Linked DNA regions of Neurospora crassa OR74A. The protein of the gene in region 2 binds, or shares a complex with, the protein of the main gene of each other region. Links are inferred from orthologs where the notes say so. Each region holds a gene or a part of one and is shown on either strand. Other genes may lie near its edges.

What was found.
Region 1: the proteins of NCU00493 (region 2) and NCU07734 are in contact, whole or in part, in a crystal structure (PDB 5FJX), measured with the Saccharomyces cerevisiae proteins. The link is inferred for Neurospora crassa OR74A from reciprocal best matches to the Saccharomyces cerevisiae genes RET2 and GCS1. Residues at the interface, in NP_116709.3 of Saccharomyces cerevisiae: Lys348, Thr349, His350, Pro351, Asn352, Leu366, Lys371, Ala372, Phe373, Pro374, Ser379, Leu380, Gly381, Val382, Leu383, Arg384; in NP_010055.1 of Saccharomyces cerevisiae: Lys348, Trp349, Asp350, Phe352.

The regions. Positions count from the first base shown.
Region 1 is NC_026504.1:2,051,967-2,064,458, reverse strand, and holds NCU07734 (zinc finger protein gcs1), read right to left. Parts: upstream 8,165-12,492; 5' UTR 7,779-8,164; coding exon 7,731-7,778; intron 7,584-7,730; coding exon 6,819-7,583; intron 6,697-6,818; coding exon 6,337-6,696; 3' UTR 5,939-6,336; downstream 1-5,938. Other genes in the region: NCU07731 (hypothetical protein), read left to right, coding at 1-103; arg-2 (carbamoyl-phosphate synthase small subunit), read right to left, coding at 1,145-2,326, 2,383-2,562; NCU07733 (electron transfer flavoprotein beta-subunit), read right to left, coding at 4,634-4,716, 4,773-5,409, 5,583-5,633; NCU07735 (Grp1p), read right to left, coding at 9,213-9,545, 9,602-9,820, 9,877-10,159, 10,504-10,733. UniProt on the Saccharomyces cerevisiae protein: GTPase-activating protein (GAP) for ARF1 and ARF2. Involved in intracellular vesicular transport. Required for transport from the trans-Golgi network.
Region 2 is NC_026503.1:4,044,214-4,056,789, reverse strand, and holds NCU00493 (coatomer subunit delta), read right to left. Parts: upstream 8,067-12,576; 5' UTR 7,787-8,066; coding exon 7,784-7,786; intron 7,728-7,783; coding exon 7,093-7,727; intron 7,038-7,092; coding exon 6,227-7,037; intron 6,165-6,226; coding exon 6,075-6,164; 3' UTR 5,715-6,074; downstream 1-5,714. Other genes in the region: NCU00495 (SipA3), read right to left, coding at 1-1,062; NCU00494 (hypothetical protein), read right to left, coding at 2,494-2,858, 2,929-3,081, 3,134-3,191, 3,253-3,969, 4,022-4,616, 4,696-5,011, 5,072-5,282; NCU00492 (hypothetical protein), read left to right, coding at 9,115-11,122, 11,600-12,076, 12,131-12,153. UniProt on the Saccharomyces cerevisiae protein: The coatomer is a cytosolic protein complex that binds to dilysine motifs and reversibly associates with Golgi non-clathrin-coated vesicles, which further mediate biosynthetic protein transport from the ER, via the Golgi up to the trans Golgi network.

The DNA.
Region 1 (12,492 bases), on a different chromosome or scaffold from region 2:
GTTTGGAGGTGGACCTCCTAGGAGACGGAGACGCGGCCATGGTGGTGGTGGTGGTGGTGGTGGTGGTGGAGGCGGCGGTGGGTTCCGAGGTGATCGATACTAGAGGGATCGATACTAGAGGGCCTCCCTACCTGTTATCCAGTCCTCTGTCTTTCGCCCGGTGTCTTACAAAGAGGAAAGAGAAATAAGAACAAAGGAGCGGCGTCTGGGACGCTCGGCATTTAATTTGTTCCCAGTACAGCCAGTAATGTGGTTCACAGAAGTCGCCTTTTTGATGGTCTTCCTGGCATGTGCATGAAGCAAAAAAAGTGCTTTGCGCATGGCCTGCAGGACAGGGGGTCAGCATCGCGGGACGGACCCTGATACACAAGAAATATTCTACACTGTAAAAACATAGAAATGTATGGATAGATAGCAGGATAAGCAGCGCATGGAGGGGTTGATGCATCCTTCCAATTGAGGGTGCGAAGGTACCTATACCGGTTACCAGGTGAAGAAGGCTAAGCGAAGAGCGGAGACCAAGATTACAGTAAAAAGAAGCATTAGTATAAAAGCATTCCACTTGTTCGTATATGATTTTGGAGTCGTATCCGACGAAGAATAACTACTTTCTGTTCTAAGATACCTGCCATCTACTAAGACGACGCTGATTTGTTTGATAATAGTTTGAAATCAAGACCAGGGAAAACCAGGTGTCACAGAACCAGAGGCTGCCCTGCTTACCAGTCAATGACACCATGTTCCCCGGCAACCAGTGCTTATACAGCACGCTGTCAACATAACCCCTGAATGTTGAAGGGCACCGAATTAGGGGAGGTACTGGACTGGAAGACATACGGCAATCACCAGGAATGGGTAAAATACAACGACTGGAAGACGTTTAGACGTGATAGCACATGGGTATGTATCAACTAGATATTGTCCTCTCTGCGCCATATCAGCCTAATGCCGACTAAACTTATCTGATTCTGCATTCAAAAGTAGTAACAAAAGATATCATATACACCCTAAACCATTAATAACGAGAGGACGTCGCCCAAGAAAGTCCCTTTTACAAAACCCATATCCTTTGTGCTGGAAAACAATAACCCAAGACCAATGACAAACACCGTTCACTAAGAAAATGCAAAGACATTCTCGTCGCTTAAGCAGCGTTAGAAAGAGGAGTGGGCTCAACGCCGACACGCTCCTTGCTGAGAATGTCAATCATGAACTGAGTAGGCCTGTTGTCACGGTAGACCTGGGAGTTGCTCTTGAAAAGCTCGACATTCTCCATGTACTTGTCAAAGAGGTAGGAAGAGTCCATGGGACCACCCTTAGCCTCGGGGTGGAACTGGGTAGAGAAGATGGGGCGGGTCTTGTGCATCATACCCTCGTTGGAGCCGTCGTTAAGGTTGACGAAATACTCCTTGAAGTCGCTAGGGAGGGTGCTGATATCGACGGCGTAACCGTGGTTCTGCGAGGTGATGTGGCACTGACCAGTGGTCAAGTCAAGAGCCGGGATGTTGTGGGCACGGTTACCATACTTGAGCTTGATGGTCTTGGCACCAACAGCGAGAGCAAGAAGCTGGTGACCAAGGCAGATACCCATGATGGGAATAGGGGAAGTCTCCATAAGCTTGGCGAGGTTGTAAACAGTCTCCTGGCAGTGGGTGGGATCACCAGGGCCGTTGGAAATGAAGACACCATCGAAGTTCTCGGCAACCTTGTGGATGGGGTAATTGTAGGGGAAGACGGTGACGGAGGCGCCACGGCTGACCAAGCTACGAAGGATGTTCTCCTTGACACCGCAGTCGATCAGAGCGACGTGGAACTTGGCGTTGGGGTTGGTAACCACAAAGGGAGCCTTGGTGGACACGCGCTTGACAAGGTTGATCTGGCCAGGGTCAATGAAGCCCTCATCCTCATCGGCGTCGTACTCGTCGCCAATGGAGATCCTGGCGAGAGAGGAACCCTGCTCACGGAGGTAGGTGACAATCGCACGAGTGTCAACACCGGAGATGGCGGGAATGCCCTCGCTGGCGCACCACTCGCCCAAGCTCTGAACAGCAGTCCAGTGGCTGTACTGGGTAGCGACATCGGAGACAACGATACCGGCGCACTGGATGTGGGGAGACTCGAAGTACTTGAGGAGGTTGAACTCGTCACGCTCATTCGAAGGGACACCGTAGTTGCCAATCAAGGGCTGGGTGAAGACCAAAATCTGGCCGCGGTACGAGGGATCGGTCATCGACTCGGGGTAACCAACAAGGGAGGTGGTGAAAACGGCTTCACCAGAAATGTTGGTGTTGGCACCGAAGGCGGTACCCTGGAAAACGGGGCCATCCTGAGCGAGAAAATGTTAGGTTTAGCCACGAGAGAAGACTAGTTGTAGGTACGCACCCTGATAGTGAAGGTGGCCTCGGCGCCGGTGGCAGCGGCAGTAGTGCGCGGCTCACGGGCGGGCATGTTCCTGCCCTTGCTGCCGGTAATGGCGGGCTGGCTCAGGTTGCGAACCTGACGGGCGGCGACGCCATTGAGGGCAGAAGCCTTGGGGAGACGAGCGGCCAAGCGAGAGAACATCTTGACTTGAATGGTGATGGGGTGCGGTGGTGATTGGTACGGCTGCTGGGTGATGAGAGGCTCTTATGCGTTAAGGGCTCTCCACAGATGGTCTGTAACACACAAAATTCATCGTCAGTATTCCAGCCGGAAAAGGGTGAGTCAACGGGAGTCGGCGGGGATGCGGACCTGAGAGGTAATCCTACAAAGGCAACAGAATTAGTTTTGATCAGACACTACAAACAGACGGCAAGCGGCAGAAGCGAGGAGAAGAAGTCTCCCCCAGGATGGCTGTCTGCGCGATCTTGAGAGATATGCAATCGGAATCCGTGAAGAGCTGAACTTTGGGGATCACCGCTGGCCACATCTCCCAAAACCAACTCAGAGCGGCATGATGCCAAGCACCCAGGTTGGTGGGTTACTGGCGGGTCGTCCCAACTACTCCGATACAGCATCGCGAGTCAGGCTGGTATGGGGGCTTCATTGCTCATCCGGGGGAACTTCTTTGATGGACTGGGTGGATGGTGGCTGGATACCAGCACGATGGAGGGGCTATCGCGTTATCGTACCTGAGAGGTGAAGACTGACGGGCGCCCGTTCATAAGGGCAGATTGCGACAAGACAAGTTCAGCTGAAGAAAGAAGGTTGGACGAAAGAGTCCGAAAGTCGGGGGAAGCGATTGGGGTTATTGTGTGTTTTGTAGATGGGCAAGAGTTGATGACGGAGTGAGTTGTAGTGTCGAGGGGAGAAACTTGGAGATAAAAGAGGGTGCGAAAGTGGGTGAGGCAAATAGAAAAAGGGCGACATTTGATTGGATCTGGTAGAATTTTTTGAGCTCTTTGTCTTTTTTCTGCCGCAGTGACAGGGTCAGCGCCGACCTGATTGGTCCAGGACTCGGTGACTCCCGCTGCTAGCGAGTCCCAAAGGCCGATTTACGGGGACCGAGGGGTGATTGATCGCGGCGTTGGGATGACTGGGGACCTGGACTTCGTTGGGACGCTGCAAGTTCCACATGCCCTTTGACCATCACGGTTACCACCCCTACTAGTCCCGGAGCCTCACAACTGGAATCACCCATCCGGTGTTCAACATACCTACTATGTACTACGTACACTACACATCGCAACCTATGCCCACAACCCCAGCCACGACATTCACAAACAACGCGACTCCAGCTCGGCATCTCCTGCCCGGGGCACCCCCAACGAATCTCGGAGTTGGAGTGGTCGGGTCCCGCAAAGCCCCCGCAAAGTCCCCGCCTACCTACCGCCGCAGATAAAGATGGTGGATACCCCGCGCTTTCGGTGACTCAAGTTGCGGGGACTTGTACAGTCGCGATTCGCCTCGCTTTCAAGCTTCTGAAGCTCCAAACCCAGGTTGCGCCAGAGCCGGCCGTCGTAATCGGCTGCACGGACAACGGAGGCCGCACGCTGACAGAAGAGGGAACAATCAAATATAGCGTCTGGATCCAGCATATACTCTCGGCGACAGCACACCAATTGAAGAGAGACATCGTCACCACCTTGTCAAGCCACGTAAGTAGCATTTTTGCGGTAGTGGTACCTTACAGCAGCCGAGCACCAATACGTGGGGGATAACAGGCTCCCACACGTCACATTGCATTTGATACATCGCGTAGCATCTGGATGTTGGGCATTACCATTTCAGACGGATTCAGCTTACTCGACCGAGTACGCAATATCAAAGCAGAGACCACCAGGACACCTGGCGAGGTTTTCATCATTGAAAACCGCAAGACAGGACAAGACACAAAACATAGCTCTTCGTACTGTTGCGCTTAACGCGACACATCTTGCGACGAAGTTGGTGCCAATGTGGCCGGCTCAAGCCTCTTTCATCTCAACCGGCCAGCTTGTCGTAGAAGCATGCATGAATAAACTGAAGCTCCAGGCCCCGGGCCGTCACGGTCCCCATGAGACATTGTGACGCCCTTACCGGCTATCAGAAGAGCATGTCCGGTTGCGTATCCGCAACACAGCTGTAGGGACGTGAATTTCAATTTTTCTATGCCAAAACAGATGTCTTCGACACAAGATCCTGGAACTCAGTAACTGGTTGGTGTATGACCGGTTTAAAGAGCACCAAGCTCCTTGAGCTTCGAGACCAAGCCATCCACATCCTCCACTTTGCCACCACCCTGTCTCGGGGGAGGCTCTGAACAACAGAGTTAGCAAACTTCCATCCAGCCCAAAACGAATTGTAGTCCTTACCGGTGACCTTGATAGTTTTGAGCCTCTTCTCGGCCGTAATACCGTAATCCGCCAGCGTCTTCTTCTCGAGCGGCTTCTTCTTGGCCTTCATAATGTTGGGCAAGCTCGCGTACCGGGGCTCGTTGAGGCGCAAGTCGGTCGTGATGACCATGGGCAGCTTGGCCTTGAGCGTCTCAACACCGCCATCCACCTCCCTCGTCACCTGCACAGAATCGCCGCCGGTGAACTCGATCTTGCTCGCCTGGGTGGCCTGCGCCCAGCCCAGCAGACCGGCCAGCATTTGGCCCGTCTGGCCGGCGTCGTCGTCGATGCTCTGCTTGCCCAGGATCACGAGGTTGCTCTTGTTCTGTTCGGTGGCGGCCTTGAGCAGCTTGGCGACGCCCAGCGGCTCGAGGTCCTCGCCCTCCTTGGTCTCGACGTGGATGGCCCGGTCGGCGCCCATGGCCATGGCGGTGCGCAGGACGTCCTGGGCCTTGGTTGGCCCGGCGCTGATGACGCAAATGTCCTCGACGGGGGTCTTCTTCCCCTCGCGGATGCGCACGCTCTCTTCGACCGATAGCTCGTCGAAGGGGTTCATGCTGTGCTTGACACCGGCCGTCTCGACTCCCGTCTGGGCCTTGTTGACTCGCGGCTTGACCTGTATTGATTGGGAAGAGTATCCACATCAGTCATCTGTACTCGGGTAGGTATAATAACAGCATACCATGTAAATGTGCAGCAGGGACTCCATATCAGAACTGTTGTATGGTGCGTGAACACCCGTTATGTTGTTGCCCTTGACTAGGTGGTCAAAAAGGATGGAAGACATACCGCATAGTCAATAACCCGCTTGACGGGCACCAATATCCGTAGGGCTGACATTGTTTTGTGGTATCTGGGGAAAAAGGGTGGGATGAGAGCGGGTGGACTCAATGGCTTGAGCTCTGGTCGCAATCACATCAGTAGGAGGAATGGGGAACGGGGTACGTGAGAATGGGGACGTCAAAGCCGACGGCACGCACACCCATGATGACGAACCGCGGGCCGTGTCCATGCAGCTGGTCCCGCCGGCTGGAACCGACCCAACCGCGGTCATACACTAACCCTAACCCCAACCCCGGCATTGTCACTCTTTTGATCATTCCAAAAGGACGATGTCAACATGTGAATGATAACCTTGTCAGCTTACTGCCAATGCACTTGGTCTTATTCTTGGTTCAGTGACTCGACGAAAATAAGAAATCGTTATCAAGTCTAATACTGCTTAGAGCAATGAGCCATCACTTGACCTCACCAATTTCTGTAGACACCTCTCTGGTCTCAGCGACGGGACCTCGCCGTACACTGGATCCTCCGACGCCGGAGTCGATTCGAAAATATCGATTAGTTTACCTACCCTACCCTGACCCTGACCATTGCATCTCAACACCCCAAGTCGGTCTCACCTTGAACACAACACCGTTGACCTCCTTGATCAGCCCAAATGACAATACAGTAAAAGACAAAAATCATAGGCTGTAAATGATTCCATTACCACTATTCCACCTCACTATTCATCCAATGACGCTACGGGTCAACAAGCCATCTACCAGTCATCCCACTCGTCCTTCTTGGAAGCTGCTGGGGGAGGAGCAGTGGAGCTACCGCTGCTTCCACCCTTGCCCATAACTGCTGTCCCGATTGAGCTACCGGCTGGCTTTCTCTGGTCGGCCGCGCTAGAGAAGTCATCCCAAAACGACCTCTTGCTCTCGTCAAAGTTGCTGCCACCACCGCCAGAGGGAACTGACCTATAGCCACCACCAGCGGAGTTGGAAGGTCCTCCCTCGACAAACCGGTTGAAACTCTCTGTCGCGGTTTTGGCGCCAGCCTGTGCTACAGTCTGTGCTGAAACGGCGGCTTGCGCTGCCGCAACACGGGCTTTTGCAGCGAGCTCTGATTCGGCTATCTATATTGGGCGGAAGAAGTCCAAATTAGCAAACATGTATCTCGAAGTGATCCAAGTAGATGTGTCCTGGGCCAATGTCCGACAGAGGGATGGTTTGTTGAGCGGAGACCAAGGATACATACCTGCTTAGCTGTAGGCTGGATATAACCCTCATTAACCGTCTTCGCCGTCTGGGTCACTGTCTTGGTAAACCATCCGAACCCTTTACTCAGCGCCGCCACGGGATCCTTTTGCAACTCATCGAGACCCGGCAAGCTTGCGCCGCCATCATTCTTTGGCTGCGACGACACTGTGTTCCCAAAGCCCTGATACTTTCCTCCCTGGCTAGGCGGCAGATTGTCCGGTCTGCTGGCGTTGGCAGCACCCAGTTTAGCAAAGTACTTGTCGTCCACCTTGATCGTCGTTCCCGGCTTAGGGCTGGCCGTCCTACTGCTCGTGCCGCTCAATGGCACCCCACCAGCCACGCTGCTTGGACTCTGACTTGTTTCCTGCTGCTGGGCCAGTGGCTTCTTCTCCCCAGGCACGTACTCCCTCCCCTCAACCTTGGCACTCAGCCTCTCCTTGTATTCTTCGCCAACATCGCCGCTGTACCGCTCCGCAATCGTCGCATCGTCCCAGCTGATTCCGCGCAACTTGGTGTCGGAATGGTTCTCGAAAAAGGTGCGCCAGGTGTCATTGCCGCCGAGCCGCATGCGCTCAATTTCGGCCTGCTTGAAGGCGTCCATGGAAACCGAGCGCACGAAGGAGATGTGCACGCCCAGGCCGCGATGAACGCCCGCACACGAGAGGCAGATAAAGATGCCGAACTTTGGTGAACACCATTGCGGGCTTGGGGCACCGCAGTCGCAGCAGATGTTGTTGTTGTTCTCCTTCTGCATCGCAGCGAGCTACAAGGGTCACAAGTCAGCTTGGAAGGTTCCAGTTGGCCCTTTGCGCCGCCACATCGCTTTTCCCCCTCTGGATCGTGCAGCTAATCTCACAAAGACAGCGATTGAACGGGTTGGACGCCTTGGGCGGGTTGGTCGGTCACATACCTTGGACTTCGTCTCCGGGTCTATCTCCCACATCCCTTTGGTAGCCATGGTGGGCAACTTGTACGTGCAATTGTGCGCGAACCGACCGGTTACGTGATTCCTCGCTGGGACGGCCTACTTGAGAGCAGAGTCTCGTCGAAGCAAATTGGAAGAAGAAGTTCGCCGTCTTTGGATTCCTTGCGCTATGTTGCGTCGCGTGATGTTTCGGATTACAGTAGGGGTTGTCTGGTGGACAATCAGTCAGACAGACAATTGGCGACTTGAATGATGAAGTCGCCCGCGCTATTGCAGGCACCCCCTGCCCTACGCTTCAGCAGTTGGTTTACCTCGGACGGCTACCTTCCTTCGTTTTAGTGGCACTGGAGCGACCAGCCAGGACGGAAACCCGACCCGAAGTGTTGGAAGATCGAGGCATGCTGATCATTAGGTCACGTTCCATCTACCCGACGAATTACTACAACTTGAGTTTGGGACTGCATTTTAGATTTGCTAAGATATGATCAGTTACGTGATTCAAGCAACAACCTAACCGAATTGAAATTCACAAGCCATAAGAGTATTCATCGAGGCCACAGTGCATGGTGCGTGTACACAAGCCAGCTCGTCCGTCCATCCAACCTTCAGGATCCTACCTTCCGTTATGTCGACCATTCATATCTACCTAGGTAGGTACCATGTTTTATGCAAAGGTCCAGACCTGGCCTTTTCTCATCATTCGTCACGCACTGCGAATAAAGATCAGGGGCGTTTCAGGGGACCGCTTGTTAACGGGGAGCTGCCCCTCTCTGGCCTGCAGGAACATCTGCAACTGTCCGTCCCCAACTTTGTCACAACCACCCATCAAGGCACGCAAGGCACGGGCAGTGGATCCATTAGTTCCCTCCAACACTACTTCTACGCCTCACAATTAGGTGATTCCCATGTTGAGGATGACTGGACACGTATCTATCACAAACCACTTTACCCGTTGGCGTTCCTATTAATTAAACATGACATATCAATGACTTCTTGGCCCGATCATGCTTATTTTCCTATTCCTAGACCGATTTGACTGACCATCTCCTGCAAACATGAGAGTTTGAAAACACTAGATGAATGTAAGCGACCCTGAGATAAAAGATGATCCATAACACATAAATGAAGAAGACAAGTCATGAAAAATATTAGATTTTTGTTGCCTGCAAAGAGCCGCAGGATAACGATGCCTGAAGTCTACCAGCGATTTGAGGCCTTTGCAAACCCCCATAACCCGTGACGCCAGACATGATCACATTATCCCACCGCCCAATCTTCCCGCTTTCATACCCACTTGCAGATCCCGCCATAAAAAGAAAATCATTCGTTCCGTGCCAAAATCGTGAGGGTAAAAATGCATGCGCCCAGTAAAACATAAGACATGTGTCGGTCGAGATTAAAGTAGTGTCTGTGACCGAAATCTTTATTAACTTGTGCGCACACTCATCTCGTCATCAAATGGAGTGTTTAAGCAGAGGCAGTGACAGCAGCGCCAGCCTGCTCGGTAGTGCCGTTGGTGGGGGCCTGGGCCTCGCCCTCGGGTTCGTTGGCCTCCTCGTCGGTCTTGTCGGGGCTATCGATGGCGACCTTGACAGCGATCTCGCGGCCCTCGATCTCCTTGCCGTTCATCTCAGCGACAGCCTTCTGCTGGAGCTCCTCCGAGGCGAGGGTAACGAAGCCGAAGCCACGGCCCTTGCGGGGCTCACCCCGGGCCTGAAGCTTCTTAATCATGAAGCGAGGGATGGGGCGAAGAGCAATCTTCGCGGAGGAAGGCTGGTAAGCAGCGAAAAGTTCCTTAAGCTGTGGAAAGAGTTAGCATGTCTCCAGTCATGGCATAGGTCGGCACAAAAACTCACCTTCTCCTCGGTCAGGTCGTAGGGAAGGTTGGCGACCATGACCTTGGTCTTGGAAGGAATACCGTCAGCCGGGGGGCCGCGCTCGCGGCGCTCACGGGGAGAGCGGTTGTGGGGCTTGCCGGCCTTGTTGTCGCTGTTGTGAGTCTCGTTGGTGATGTCCTTCAGAGCCTCGGTAGCAGGGGAAGTGGAGCCCTCGGCACCCTCCTCCTTCTTCTCGCCCTAGGTCGGGATGTCAGTTTCTCTGTCCACTTCACAGATGATGTAATGGAACTTACACGATCGCCACGAGCGCGTCCGCCACGGCCACGACCGGCGCGACCGCGGCCACGAGTGGACTGGCGGCGGCGAGTGCCCTCATGGCCCTCACCGTTGGCACCCTCGGCCTTCTCGTTAGACTCGGGCTTGCGAGCGAGCTGGACGGAGACCTTGCGCTCGAGGATCTCCTTGCCGGAGAGCTCAGCGATGGCACGCTCAGCCTCGCTAGGGGTAGAGAGGTCGACGAAGGCGTAGCCGACAGGGCGGTCGGTGCGAGGGTTCTTGGGAATGGAAACAGACTCACTGCGCGCAACGAAACTGGTTAGTAACGGACGAGCACACGTAACACGGGACCAAGAAACCCGGATGTCAACCCCACCCTACGGCCCTGCAAGCGGCCCACTCTCACAGCCAGAGGAGCGAGGTGGATGACGTGACGTCAAAGGGCCAAAGGGCCTAAACAAGGCAACATGATGGAAACGGGAAGGGGAATGTGAGGTTTGTGGCGGGCAACTGCTTCCAGCCGCGTAAATACAATCCAAACAAGGCGGGGAAGCGGGATGCAGGGAAACAATGCAAAGGCGGTGAGAGGACAAGGGCAGACAACGACAAAGGGAAAAAGGGTAGGCGGGACGAGCCAAACTTACACAAGGTAGCCCTTGAAGAATTCTTTCAACTCCCCCTCCGTTGTCGCATAGGCAAGGTTGCCGATGTAGAGGCGGCGACCTTCGGCAGCGCTGGCAAGGACAGCATCGTTGGCGGCGGGCTTCTCGTCAGCGGACTTGTTGCCAGTCAGAGAGGTGTTGGCCAGAGCGTTGGTAACGTCGTTGACGGCGGCGGCAGCAGCGTCAGTGATTTTCTCCACGACAGCAGACATGGTGATTGATTGTGATGTCGAAAGTTGACTTGGTTGGAGTAGGTGATCCACAGGAGGTGACGTGAGCGTTGGACTCGTTTGGATAGGGAGATGAGCGCCTGGGGTGTTGTAAGGACGTTCACGGACGAGAAAGGTTGAACTCTGGGTCTGAGGGGGAGTCAGAAGGGTAGCTTGGTGCCCTAGATAGCTTGAGGGGGGGGTTGGTTGAAGGTGGTTTGAGCGGACTTCAGATTGCTTGAATGGTTGACGGGAAGAAGAGAGGAAGAAAAAGGAAAGGATCAGGTGTTGGTGAGTCGGCGCGCTCCAAATTTCAAATATTTTTTGCTACCGTTCGGGGAATTAAACGAAAGGCAGGCGTGGCGGCTTTGGCCCAGGGTACATCCGGTACGTCCCCATAGTACCTACCCTCCACCTGGAGGCAAGGCGAGTTCCAGCTTCCAGTTGTCACTCTTACGCTTCCCAATCGCCGAGGTGGACAACGGACGAGTGCCAACTGGGGTAGGCAGCATGTACCTACCACCCAGCCTGGCCAGTGCCGTGTGGGCAGGTGCAAGCAGCCCGCCCAGCGCAGTGCCCCCAGGCGGGGGTCCGGGTCTTTCAACAACTTGGAAGCCAAACTTTGGGCCTCCAGGCTCAGTCCGTCCGCTCGGGCCTGTGTTTTATACCACCCCTCGGTACCTCTTATATACGACCCCTCCGAACGCACCTTCACTGAACAGAGGGCCGAATCGGACACAGTTGCAACCGCCTGAACCGCACCTTAGCAAGCGAGCGTCAAGCGCTGCCCGCTGAAATGAGGGGAGGCGCGGACATCAACCACTGAACATTCGCAAGTGGCAACGGCTCAGGGATACGCCATCATCGTCGCAAACGCCAAGGTCTGTCCGCTTGTCCTGCCATTTGGGATCCACCGAAGGGGAAAGGAGCGTGGAGAAGCTCAAGCAACAGGGAAGCACAGTGCGGCGCAGTCAATGCGATGAGGCCAGCATCGATGTGCATCATGGGAGCGGTTGTAAGGTTGGTGATAGTCTATCGACTTGAACTTACCTCGCTAGGTATTCTAGTCAGAAAGACAGGTACAACGTCGTGTCTTCCACGGAGATTTTCAAGTTGTGTCTTGGCCCGACAGATTCGGAGTCTTCGAGCGCGTTCCGAGTCGATCTTTCCGGGGAAGGCTACCGGGTTGTTGCGAAGGCTCTCAATTGTCAAAGAAGTGAAAGAACGAACAAGTGAGTTGTGGAACTACCTATTGCTGCTTTCTTTTATAGCTGAGCAACTGCTCGTTCTTTCCCTTCACACGTTTCTGATATTGGGCATGTTACAATAACAACGCTGTCTGCGGTGGATCGCTGCTAAGGAAAGAGAAGATGGCTTTCCATCTTAAGTGACCTGCGCCATTCACCAATAGCCTTGCTCACCTACGATCTTTACATATGTCCTTTCAAGTTCTGTAGAAGAACGAAGTGATTCAATCTCGATCGTACGTTGAAGATGGAATCAGGTGAGCGTTTGGGAACGCAACCGACTATCGCTCCAGATCGAAATGTATGTCTATACTATCGATACAGAAAGGAACTGACATATACTCCACCCGGGCGAGGCTATGAGATGGCCTTACTCTTGTTTTCAAAACAAAAGAAGCAAGTGACACTGACTCCACGAACGGTAACAGAGGTCGACTATATCGTAGTGACATATCGGGCTACAGTTCCCGGTCGGCTGCAAAACGTACTGTATCTTTTCACTTTCTTCAAAAGCC
Region 2 (12,576 bases):
TAGGAAGAGCCACCCCTGCTTCTCTGCAATCACATCCGTCTGATCCTTTTGCTGCATGTTCATAGGTCCTCTAGACCCCAAGTATGGCACCGTAGACACGCTATAGTCCTCGATCTCCCTCGAAGGCTTATAAACTGCCAGTGTCGCCTCTCCAACCTCTTTTCTTGCCGCCTGCAGCTCTCGCTTAAACAAGGGCTCGTACGACTCCATCTCTTTAGACCAGCCGCGTATCCTTTCCAGCTCCTCCGCCGCAGTCGCCGCGCCCAGGGGTGCATCGCCCCGCGAGCGCCGCATTTCCCTATACATGTCCGCGCAAACTCGAACAAGCAATTTGTCGAGCGCAAAGCGCAGCTGGGGCGCCGACTGGCAGAAGTCCATGCTAGCCTTGAGGTACGCCTTGCGCGTCTCAAATACAGCAAAGGCGTCCTCGCGCAGAGCACTCGGCTCTTTGGTCTTGTTTTGGCTCACGTAGCGAGCAAGTGTCGTGTCGAACGTTTTCTGGGCAGCCTCCAATGCTCGCCGAGCCTCTTTGAATGTGCGAAGTTCACCATTGACGAAGTTGCGGATGGGCTCGACGCTGACGGGCTCGAGTCGCCGAACCGTGGCCATCACCCCGGTCCACCAGTCACGGGCACCATCGCCGGCCCGTCGGAGGGCTAGGAACGTATAGTCGGTGTCAATGATGGCGTCGGCTTGGGCGGTTGCATTGACGGGTGGCGGCGCAATCTTTTGGAGGTAGGCGTGAATGCTGTCCTCGAGTGCGAGCAGGTCGTTGACCACCTTGGACGTGCTGCGGATGTAGTTGTCGAGCCATCGCTCGATTACGTCAAGGTTTTCGGAGAAGTGGACGGTAGAGGCTCGGAATGTCGGAGAATCGAGAGCGGCTTCGTTGAGGCTCACGGGGTTGGGAGCGCCAGGCCGTAGCTTCTTGGTCAGGGGTAGTTGCGACTGCGTTGTAGACGAAGGGCCCTGGGTAGAACCAGATGCCGGCTGCGTTGGTTGCGGTTTGCTCGGAGCCGCGGCGGCCGGCGGCAGGACGGGGAATGCCGTGGTATCGGACATGATTTGTGGTATTCTGGCGAACTCAAAGGGTATAATCGGCGGCTGCTGTCCACAATTATGACGATCTCGTCCCGTCTGTCCCGTCGGCACCTTGTAACAAGGGCAGGCAGGGCAGCACAAAGGCTCGGGGAGGCGGGTTGCACAGTCGCAATCGAGGTGCGAGAACCTTTCTGGCAGCTGGACCGAGTCTTTGACGGTAACAATGGTGGTGGCGTATTAGAAAACTACTCTCGGTAGCACCATCCATAAAAATCCCGTTTGATATCTTGTGATCTATTCGGCTTCTCCTCTCATTATCGATTAGTAGGTTTGCTAAAAAGCCAGTCGTTACAGTTGGCGCAAAGGGTGGTGCAGTTAGTTGGTTGTGGTGGAGTTCTTGTTGGAAGAAAGTTGGTGGTGGTGACGGGATGGACGTCAATGTAAAAGGAGACAAGGCGGGATCTGGGCAGTATCAGCTCGTCCTCCTCAGCAATACTTTTAGCACACCGTCATTCAGCTGTCGTGGAGACTGGGTAGGTTCACTTCCACTTCCAGGTCGCTACACTACCTAGGTAGTGCCCGCCTGTACTACCACAGCCTGGACCGCTGCAAACGCAATGACGTTGTACACTAAACGGGACGGGACCGAGTGGTCGCTGGCCACGCAGCCGTTTCAGGCTGGGTCGGGTACGATGGACTGGAAGAAATGGCAATTCGCACTGGGGTACCTCTACACTACCTAGGTGAGTGACGGCCCGAAGACTGGGCTGCAGTGAACTGGAATCTGCTGATCCCCTGAATCGAAGCTTCCCACCGGCTGCCACGCATTCTTCCGTTCCGCGTATGGATCCGCCGACCTCCATGCCCTGGGCTGGGCTGGCTTTCAGGGCCGGTGGACTCTACCCTAACAATGAACCTAACGAAACCCCATTAGCCCTGTGGCTTGGCTTGCAGAACCCATGGAACTCCGCTATTTAGTGGACAAGGCACGCCCTGGCAGCGCACCCGACGCTAACGGAATGATTCTCATTTCAATGTCGGGCAGCCTGGCTCCGCTCATCGTTAACAACAACACACGGGAATGCGTGGGCGAAATCGGACACGAGACCGAAGATTCTTCGCGAGGATGAATCGACGGAAGTGAAAACGAGAATTTGGAGACTTTTGCAAATTGGCACTGACTGCACTACCAAAATGATCAAGTGAAAACACTTGGGAATCTTTGTTCGCAAGTACTAGACAGACCCGGTTTGATAACCGAGCAATACGGGACCTTATCCATGCCTCCCATTCATACAATGAAATTCCTCATTTGTAACAGCCTCCTCCTAATCATACATCACGAACGGGACTCATAAGTGCAATCCCCAGGTAATTGAGGGTCCCGCTTCCCGCAGTCGCCATGCCCCAATCGCATTACCGCACTTTCCGACCTTCCGCTCTATCGATGTTCTACTGGCTATTCTCCATCACCACATCTTCCTCCTCTCCTTGTTGCTGCCATGACTTCCTCGCCATCGGTGATACTTGAGTCCCGGAATCTGCCTCAAACTGGTCGGGAAGGGCATATGTCTTGTAGGCCGTTCTGTCGCGTCCTAGTAAACAGACCCTAGCAGGAAGCTCGCCCCTGGTTTTGCTCGCTTGTTGGACTTCCATCTGGATGGGCATAAAGCCAACCGCGTCAAAGAAAAGTGGAACATACGGCACTTCTGGACCTCCTATATCGATTGCTTGGGGCCTCTCTCCTACTTCGTATGCTGAGTAGGTTAGGTTGGGTGACTGATACCCGATCCTCACCAGTGCAGGGCTTTGCTCATCTGACATGGGAGTTAGCTTCATCTTCTCCGGTCTGGTTTTGTCTTTGCTAATAATTCCAAGTCGACTGACCTTTGAGTTGGCTTAGCACGAGCAAAGACTCGTCGTCCCAGAACTTGATATCAACCACGCTGGCCCCGTTGGGAAGGACCAGACTACATGCACTGCTAGAGGCTGTGCCGCTAACGCCGTTGGCGACCGGAATCGCGGTTCGTACAATGAAGACTACATCCAGTCTTAGCTAAATGCTCGACGATGCCATAAAAGGGAGACATACTCTTGTTCTTGTCACTTTCCGGTACTGTAGCAACAAATATAAGGACTCCAGACTCAGCCTGAAGTTTCGCGTTAGCAATCAAGTGCTCGGGGAGAAGTGAACTGCATAACATGACTTACCGCACTAGATCGAGAACACAGATGAATATCATGCCTCCATATCCTCTCGCCAGTAGATATCTCCACAGCCTCGTTGAAGCGCACGCTTCGTTTCTCTGCTTCAGCAATCTCCTTGAATACAATAGCCGACTTGCTAGTGAGATGGTCCACCAACTGATCGACTTGAGGTAACGCCTTGTAATAAGGCTCACCACGCTCCTGGTACTTCAGCTGCTGATCAACCAGTTCCAGAAGAGATGTGCCATCGCTCTTGTCAACAACTCTCCAGTCCTTCTCGCGCTCTTCCGCGGTAACATCACCAAGATACACAGCCAAGGGACTGCCCATCAAATATCGTTGGATATACGTCAAGACCTTGACGTTGTCCATAGTCGCCTCTTTCTCGGTCAACTCCTCAGCAGCTGCCAATGACGAAGCCAGTTTATCGATTTCCATTCGAAGCCATGACGAAAAGCAAGTGAAGTGGTCCAGCTCGTCCATGACCGCCAGTAGGATCTTGTACGAGACCAAGGTCAGCGCCGCGACCATGTCCAACAGCTTCTCGATCTGCGCGGCGTTAAAGCCGATGTTCTCACGCGAGCCGTGGAAACGAGCGAGGCCTAGGAGCCGGCTGAGCACGATGCCGCACCTCTCGAGCGCAGGCAAGAAGTTCTCATGGACGAGGCTTCTGAGATTTTGCAGGCCGCTTACAACTGCTTTATCCCAACGCTTGTGTCCCTAAATACTTGTCAGTCCTATGGCACTCTTCACATCTCCCTACTCAACTTACTCTCTCGGCTAGGCTGTCGACAAGCCACTCCTTCACCAGAGGAAACACATGTCCTGTTGCAACTGTGTGATACAATGCCTGGACTATGGTCACCGGCCCCTTGGGACTCCTCTCTAGGTCCTCTTGAACACCACGTAGAAAACGCCCAGGAAGCTCTCTTGTCGATTTCCACTCACTAACCATGTGTGACTGTGCCTGCTTCAGATACCGAAGGAGATTCTGAAGTGTTGTCGTGTTCGACGCCAACAAAGACAGGTTGATAGGCGATTTGTGTACAAAAGTGAGGTCCATCGGAACAAGAAAAAGGGATGTCGGACTACCCTCCTTGGGTCTTAGGAGGAGTGCGTGAGTAGGCACTTTATGATGGGAACTATGACCGCAAAGCTGGAAAGGACCCTCGTTTGAGGCGGGTCCTCTGGCCGTATGCGGTACATGTTGAAAGGTTCCAATGACAAATGAATCGTAGATGCTGAGATGAATGCCTCCGTCGGCTGTGCCGGTGATCATGACATGTACATTGTCCGAGTCCTCGGGCTGGTAAGGGCGGAACACGAACTCGAGTGATGCCGCGGTAGAGAAAACAAACATATCGTCCCTATAGCCATGTCAGTTACACCATCACTTTTTTAGGTTTGTCTCCCGGCACTGCAAGCTCATGGGTCCTGTACACATACCCGATGCCTCCCGACAAAGGAAGAGGACTAATTTTGGGGAGAGCAGTCTCGATTTCCAGAAAAGTCAACTCATGAGGGAGGTCCAGAACATGCTTCTTCTCATCGAGCATGAGATCCCGCCACGGCAAGTCGGGGAGGTCATTATGCTTCCTGGCACGCGACTTCCTACCAGTTTCGTTTTTGGCCCAGGCGATGAACTCAATCTTAGAAGGCTTTCCACCATGACCTGCCACGCGGATGTGATGCACGGCTTTGTTGCTTTCCAAGCCGATCAACCTCACCACGCCGTCACTCCAGCCGGCAGCTAAGAATTGGCCTGCGAATTCCCTGTAAGACAGTGGTTTCCCTCAACAGCCATCGGAAGATCTTCACTTACCATCCTCTTTCCACTTGATTGCATCAACCTTCTGGTTTCGTTCTGTATGCTTCGAGACCAACTGATTGCTGCCACGCCAGACATAGATCGTGTTACCGTCGCCGACCGTGGCTGTCAAGTCGATCACGGGATTGCATACGATTTGCTTGCCTGAGACTGGCACACTCAAGGCGCTTGAACTGAATAGCTGAAGCTGCCCATTTGGGGACATTTTGTAGGATCCGTTGGTGACTTTCAGTTGGATGATGTTATTTGGACGTGGAAAGCAGCGGCTAAGTGGTTCCAGCCTTCAACTCCGGGACGCAAGATTTTGATTTGAATGACACGCGCAAGTCCATAACTTGGCAAGTCGGTTTGTATGTTTGGGGGATTTCGGTTTTGGTTTGCTAGACCTACAGCTTCACTTGCCTCGGCGTGATGTTGTTGTTGTTGTTGCTGCTGTTCTGCGATTCAGTCGTGTGGTCTCGTCCTGCCTGTTGATTCAAAACACAGTGCAGATAGAGCAGTTGCCACAGTAATAGAAATACTGTGCAGGGGCATCCGTACTGTGTAGGTATGACCTTTACAAGCTTACCTAGCGAACTACACACATCGACATCAATTACCATACTCTGTGCTTACAACAGCGATGATTGAGTTGGATAGCTCTTTGCGTAGATAGGCTTCTTTCTATATGGTACTGGATCATGAGGGTATCCATCCCCTTAAAAATGCGTAGGGCTCGTAGCTTACATGTTACTTTCAAGGATCCCGGGAGCGTCAAAAACCTCTTGTTCAAAAAGTCAAGTATGACCTTGGGTATCAACGGAAGAAAAGGAATGACAGCTCGAGCACCCACTGGCGCGGACCATGTACAACAGTATTCATTATAAAGGGAGTTGGACAACTCGGTTGCTTCCCATACATTACTCTAATTCTGGTGTGGAAGATGATGATCGAGACGCCTGGCCGGCATGCTACGGTCGCCCTTTTTTGGTTCTGCTCAAAACAATGACAACAAACCCTACTCAATGAGGAACTTGTCGGCCACCGATCTGATGTCCTTGGAAAACGAAACCTCTTCACCTTCATCCACCAGCTCAACAGATTGAACCTAGAATGTGTCAGTTGTTCCGTCTTTACCCGTTTTTCTGACATGAGGGGGCGACATCTTACATCAACCTCCACGAACGGCCACGACTTGGAGAACCGTACTTGCATCGGGAAGAACTCGTTCTCGTCATCGGTCTGCGCCTCAAACTCGAATGATCCGCTGGCGTTCTCCTCGCTTACGGTGCCTATCGACCACTCTAGACTGTCACCAGACACCTCATACACAGCGTCGAAGCTAGACACCTGAGGCTCTGCGCTCGTGTAGGGGATGACGACAGTAACGTCCTTGAGGGTATCTCCGCCAGTGAGCTCGTACTCGACCGTCAATGTGCTGTTGCCATCCGAGCCCTTGTTGACCCAAACGGTGAAGCTGATTGGTAGTGCGCTGGTGTCGTCGACTCTGGGACTGGCCCGCCACCTTAGAACTCCGACAGAGTTGTTAAGGGGGAAACCCTTTGTGATTTGAGACAACTGGATAGCCTGGGAGCTATTGAAGACATTCTTATCGACGTTCGGGTGAGTGCGGAACTGGGCGCCGTGGGTGGGTGTGGCGCTGAGGTTGAGCTTGATCCTTGAAAGCGATGGGTCGGAGACGCGAAGCTGGAGGTCACCGCTGACCGAGAGGGATTCGAGGGCACCATCTCTCGACAGCTTGGCACTGATTGCCTCGTTGATAAGGACGTGAATAGCATCCCTGTCGAGTGTCGAAGAGACTCTGGAAGCAGCAGGCTCTGCGGCAGCTGCCGGCGCGGCTACCGGAACAAGGGGCGCTTCCTCGGCCTCGTGTCCAAGATCCCCCTTCACGCGCTCGAAAATATCCGTATTCTTGGACTTCTTGCCCAACTGCATACCTTTGCCCTTTGGCGCATTGAACCTAGAAGAATGTGAGCTTGCAGGCCAGCCTGAAAAGAAGAGGGACTAACACATACTTGACCTTGTTCTTCTCGGCTTCGTACGTATCATAGGACTCGGTGACAGCAGGTCGCACCGGCGGGGTGTATGTGGGATATACCGGCGTCCGGGGTACCGCGGACCGACCAGTTCTGGCCGACTCCTTGCGCTGCATCTCCAACTGCTTGGCTTTCCTCTTGCGCTCTTCGGTGGCCTCCAGCTCCTTGTTGCGGGCAATGATTTCCTGAATGCGCTCCTCGTGGCTTTCCATCTCGAGGAAGGTCTTGATCTGGCTGATGGTGAGGTTCTCCCGGTAACCGAGAGTCACCAGCTCATCGAAGGCGCTGAGCAGTTCGTAGGCATTTCGGAGGATTTCGCGCTCGTCAAGGCTCTTGCAGGTGCTGGTGACAACCTGGGCAAAAAGGTGGAGCGAGTCGATGTCCTGAAGGATGTTGGACTGCTTGTTGGTGATGAGGACCATGTACAGCTCGTCCAGGGGCTGGTAGACGAATCGGACATTGTCTTGCTCGACAATGGTGTGCTGAGTACCCGAGTCGGCGGCCTTGGGGAACGAGGCGAGGAGAGCTTCGATGCGGGAGCGCTTGATGTCGTTGAAGGCGCGGGCTAAGACGGCCTTGCCGCCGCGGGTGCAGATGGAGGCAGCGAGGACAACCTGACATGTTCCGTCAATCGCTTCTTCCCACCAGGAGACAGGGATGGATGAGTTACCATTTTGACAGCAGTAAACAACAACCACGACTACTGACTCGAAGGGCGCTTCGTGGTAGTGCAGGGAGCTTTGGGATGCGTTGGAGGTAAGTCGTGAGCTTCACCTCCTGAAAGTTGTCGTGGACGGGAAGGTTGATGTGGTCTTTCCGTTGCCGTGCTGAGGTGTGCTGTCGGTCAGGTCCAATTGAACTGAAGGTGCCATCTGGAGGGACCCAGCGGGCAGCGATAGGTAGAGGTACCTGGACGGCAGCTTCACTGCAGCGTCAGGGCAGTCGGGTTCAGGCGGGCCAGGGCAACCTACTGCGTACACGGTGGCAGCGTCCTGGCCGGCCGACGAGGGGCTGCCAGCTGGCAAAAGAAATCCAGGGGCACACCATAGATACAAGTACAGTAGGTAGGTACCTCTAGGCACCCACAGGGCCCGCTAAACTCCATGCGGCACTTGCTTAGGTTCAGTTTCCTTCCTATGATCAATTCTGCGAATTTCACCGTTGTCCACACACTGCGGCAAAACCAACAACTGCACCTCTTTCTTCAACACGCACAACAGACGGCCCCGTGTGTCGAAATTTCACGATTTCCATTTCCATCCAAACCATCGCCTACCTCGAAAAACCATCCGCCATCGAGAAACTTGTTTCTCAATCGCGTCAAAGCATTGCCCAGCCAATACGAGTCTCGATTACGGATCATCAAATACCTACGCTACCTTTGTGACACGCCTCGTCATCAAGAGCTTACTCGACTCCGTTGCACTTCACCCACCTCCCAGCTCCGCCGCTCCGTGAAAGTGAGGCATCCCGATTATCTGCCTGCCGCGTTTCAGCATTCCATACCTCGATTCGATGTGCACTTTTGCCCAGAACATCCGCCCCAGAACTCTTAACAGCGGTTAAATCGTGTTGTCGGATTCCGCCAGTCCACGTGTCGCCTCACATCCCTTCACCGTTTCATTTTGCGCCCCAGAAGCGCCGTTGTTTGTCGGGCGTTCTTTGTCGAGTGCGGGGTTGCCCATTCTCAGCCATAACTCCAGAACCCGTGGTCTCTATATGCCCTACGGCTTCGCTTCCAAGAAGAAGTCACAGCCTTTCAGTCCAAGACATCCACCGAAACCCATCGCCAAGCTTGGGGTTTTGACCAGTGCACCAATTTTCTACGTCTTCGCTTCTTTCATGACGCTTGCTGGACGTACAATTTCTTGACAACGGCAATACGTCGCACCTTCTTAGAAACTTCGTGGAAGTTTTGCGTCATTTTCCAAATTTTCGTTCTTGATCCAACTCACTCGTCTGTGGCGCGTGTTTTGATTGACCCGCCAACCGCCAATCATCATGGAGCAAGTTAGCTTCGACGTTCGTGCCGAGGCGGGGAAGGCGGTATTTGACGATGACTTGATGCTAGATGCCGGCATGCCAGCCGACGAGCTTGTCTTAGAACTCGACGACCTACATGACAAGGAAGATGAGTACCAGGCGATCGATCTTGATGCCCAACCCGCCACAGCGGATGTTGAATTTGCTGTCGATGACCTCGAGGCTCAGCATAATACCAACGATGAGCAAGCAGAGGCGGCAGGCGGCGTCGAGCAAGATGCTCAGGATGTCTCCATGGCATACAATGACGAGATAGGTTATGAAGAGGAGGAGGGCGTTGCAGAAGAGGCTGTTACTGAACACGAGCCCGAAGATACCACTATATCAAAAGCGCCGTCTGCAAATGACGAGAATCCAGATCTACGTGAATTGGAACAGGAAGCCCAGGACGTCCAGATTGATCTTGCTGAGTCCAAATTGGGCGACGATGCGGAAGAGCAGCCGATCGGGCGTGAGGCCGAGACAAAGAACCCTGTTGATCAGGAGGCTACTGAACAAGTTGCCGAGACCGATGTCGGTCTGGACGTCGGTGGTGTTGCAGCTACCAACCCTCTGGATACAGCTGTCTCGGGAGCTGAACAAGCGGGCGAGGCCGTGAGCGAGGATCGCCAGCTCGAGGAAAGCCAGATTGACCATGACGAGGCCATTGTTGATGATGCTGCATTCAGCATCACAGATATTACAGTCCAGTATGATGGTGGCAGTTATGCCCTCTTTGGGAACTCGGACATGGATCCTGAGACCTACTTTCTTACCGATACTGAGATCGCAACCGCACCGTTGTCGGAATTACTTGCATCTATCCGTTCTGTCATTGCCTCGGAGTTAACACCCGGAGAAGAACTGGTCATCGTTATTGACTCACTTGATTTGAACTTTGGCGAAAGGTCCAGTAAAGACTTTTTGCAGCGCAGCTTTCATCAGATCATTTACTGCTACAATGTCCTTCTAGCTAAAGGAATCGTCACAGAGACATCCCTAACGCTCAATCTTTTGGTCCGTCCGGACCCCGAGGGCCGGTTCCTGGACTTGCTCGAGGAGGCAGGCATCTGGAGCGGAGCAGACTACTCTCCCGATTACTCAGATGCCTCCGGGGAGGATGAATATCTGGATGACGATCAGGACATTGAAGATTATGATGACAATGACAACGAAGGCCTCGAAAATGATGGTGATCATGAGGATGGCCAGGATGCTGAATTTGATGACCAAGAGCATCGAGACGAGGAAGGCCAGCAAGATCAAGACCAAGAAGAGAAGGAAGATAACGAAGAGCCAGAGGTCATTGAGCTCACCGAGAATATCGAAGTTGCAGAGGATATCGAGGGTACTGAAGACGTCGAAGTCAGCGTGAATGTAGCCGAGGTTAGGGATGTTACCGTCTCGGCTGGAGACATCCAGAAGGAAGCATCAGAGGAACACACGGAACGTCAGGTCACCGAGGATGTCCTTGCGAATGAGTGTCATACTGAGCAATTCTCGCTAGCAGACAACATCGATCAAGCTGCCCAAGCAGAGCCATCTGCAGAGATTAACGGGTCAAGTCACTTTGATGCCAGTGGAACCTCTCATGGCCCGGCAGGCATCGTTGATGTCAAGCATGAGATGGACGGTGATCGGGGAGAATTTCAGCCCAGCCTTGAGGGGACGAGCAGTGATCTGGAGCTTGCTCCTGAAACGAAGTCTGCTACGGACGAACCTCAGCCGGAAAACGGTGATCATACCGAAATTATCAACGAGGAGAAAGAGGAGGAGGTTTATGATGAGGATGAGTACATCGAGCATCATGAAGAGGCCGAGGCCGAGGAGCAAGACGATCATGAAATTGATCGTACAGTGGGTGCGGAGGAGCTTGGTGATGACTTGACACTCAGACAGACGTTGGATGACGGCAACTTCTCGCTCGATATCACGGAGGGGTCTACTGAAGGTAACGCAGTGCTCGGCCGTGACGACAATCGAACTGGTAAATACCCTTTTCTTTTTTCCTCACCCACACACAACCCCAGCACACACGGCCACATGGTCGTTTTGCACACAGGCGAAGCCAAGGATGACGATCTCATTGACTACACGGATGACGAAGGCCCAAACTATGCCATGCCTGGTCTGAAACGGAAGTCCGTGTTCTCCGACCTAGTTTTCGGGGGAAAAGAAATGAGGTCCGAACAAACAGATGGGACAATGCCGCCGCTCCATAGCAAGCCCTCGGACAACGTATCCGGCGGAAGCCAACTTGCAGTTGAACTGCGACCCAACCAGCACTGCGGTCTTGCAACGCTATCTCCTTTCCGCTCCGACTCACCTTGCATCAAGAACTCCAACAGCCCCGTCAACTTCTCTGCACCCCACCGAAGCAGTGGCAGTCGTTTTCATTCTCACAAAGACTCCGATTTAATCGTCACCTTCTCTACCTACAATGTTGCTGACATGCCCTATCAAGGAAACAACGAAAATAGTACTTCGCGCAATCCCGACTCCACCGCCATGCAGGAGCAGTACACTGACGACGGCCCTAACGCGGACGAATATACTGAGGTAGAAAACGCGATCGACATCGAGTACACCCATGAGACATCGCATCTCACAGTCAACACCGCCGACCCCAAGGACCAGACCGAAGAAGGTGCTCAGGAGTTTACAACCGAAGAATCGGCCAACCGCACGAGCACAACCAATACCATGAGCGGCGACGAGATTGACTACGAAGAGAACGAGGAACAGGATGTATCGTTCGAAACAGAAGGTCAAATCCATGAGTTCAGCAACGCTCAAGATGACGACGAAATCGGATGGGGAGATGATGGAGAGGAGGACAACAATGATTTTACACAGCAGACTACAACTTCTCAAGAACAACCGCCCCTCACAGCAAAGAGAGGTCGGACTGATGACCTGGATGAGGAAGCCGAAGAGGCCGGTAAGTTCAACGAAGAATCCGCACGGGAAAACATCTTGCTAATCAGGACTATAGATGTCAAGCGTCGTCGGACCTAATCGGCCAAACTCTGGCCTCGAATATAGCATCACCCCAACATCTCCCTGCCCCTACGTTCAGTCTTCCCAGCCCCATTTTCCCCTTCTCCTCCCCTTCCTCTCTAACCGCTGTGGATCAGTCTTGTATTTTGTGAGTTGCTCTTGATGTTCTTGGTTGTTCCTGTTCGAAGAACCGACCATGAATGTGCGCTGAGAGAAGCTTTAAGCTTCAAGAATGGTAAGGTAAGTTGCAACGGATCGGCCGTACTCGATGGGGCAAGTCGTGTCCCCATACTTCATTACTCTTCACCCGATCGGCAATACTTAACACCAGGATTCGCGACAACGACCTCGAGAGCGCAGCCCACCTTCAGCCTGCATACAGCGGGCATTAACAGTCGAAAATTATGGGACGGCCTGGGGGACATGTCGCCCGAAGAAGCG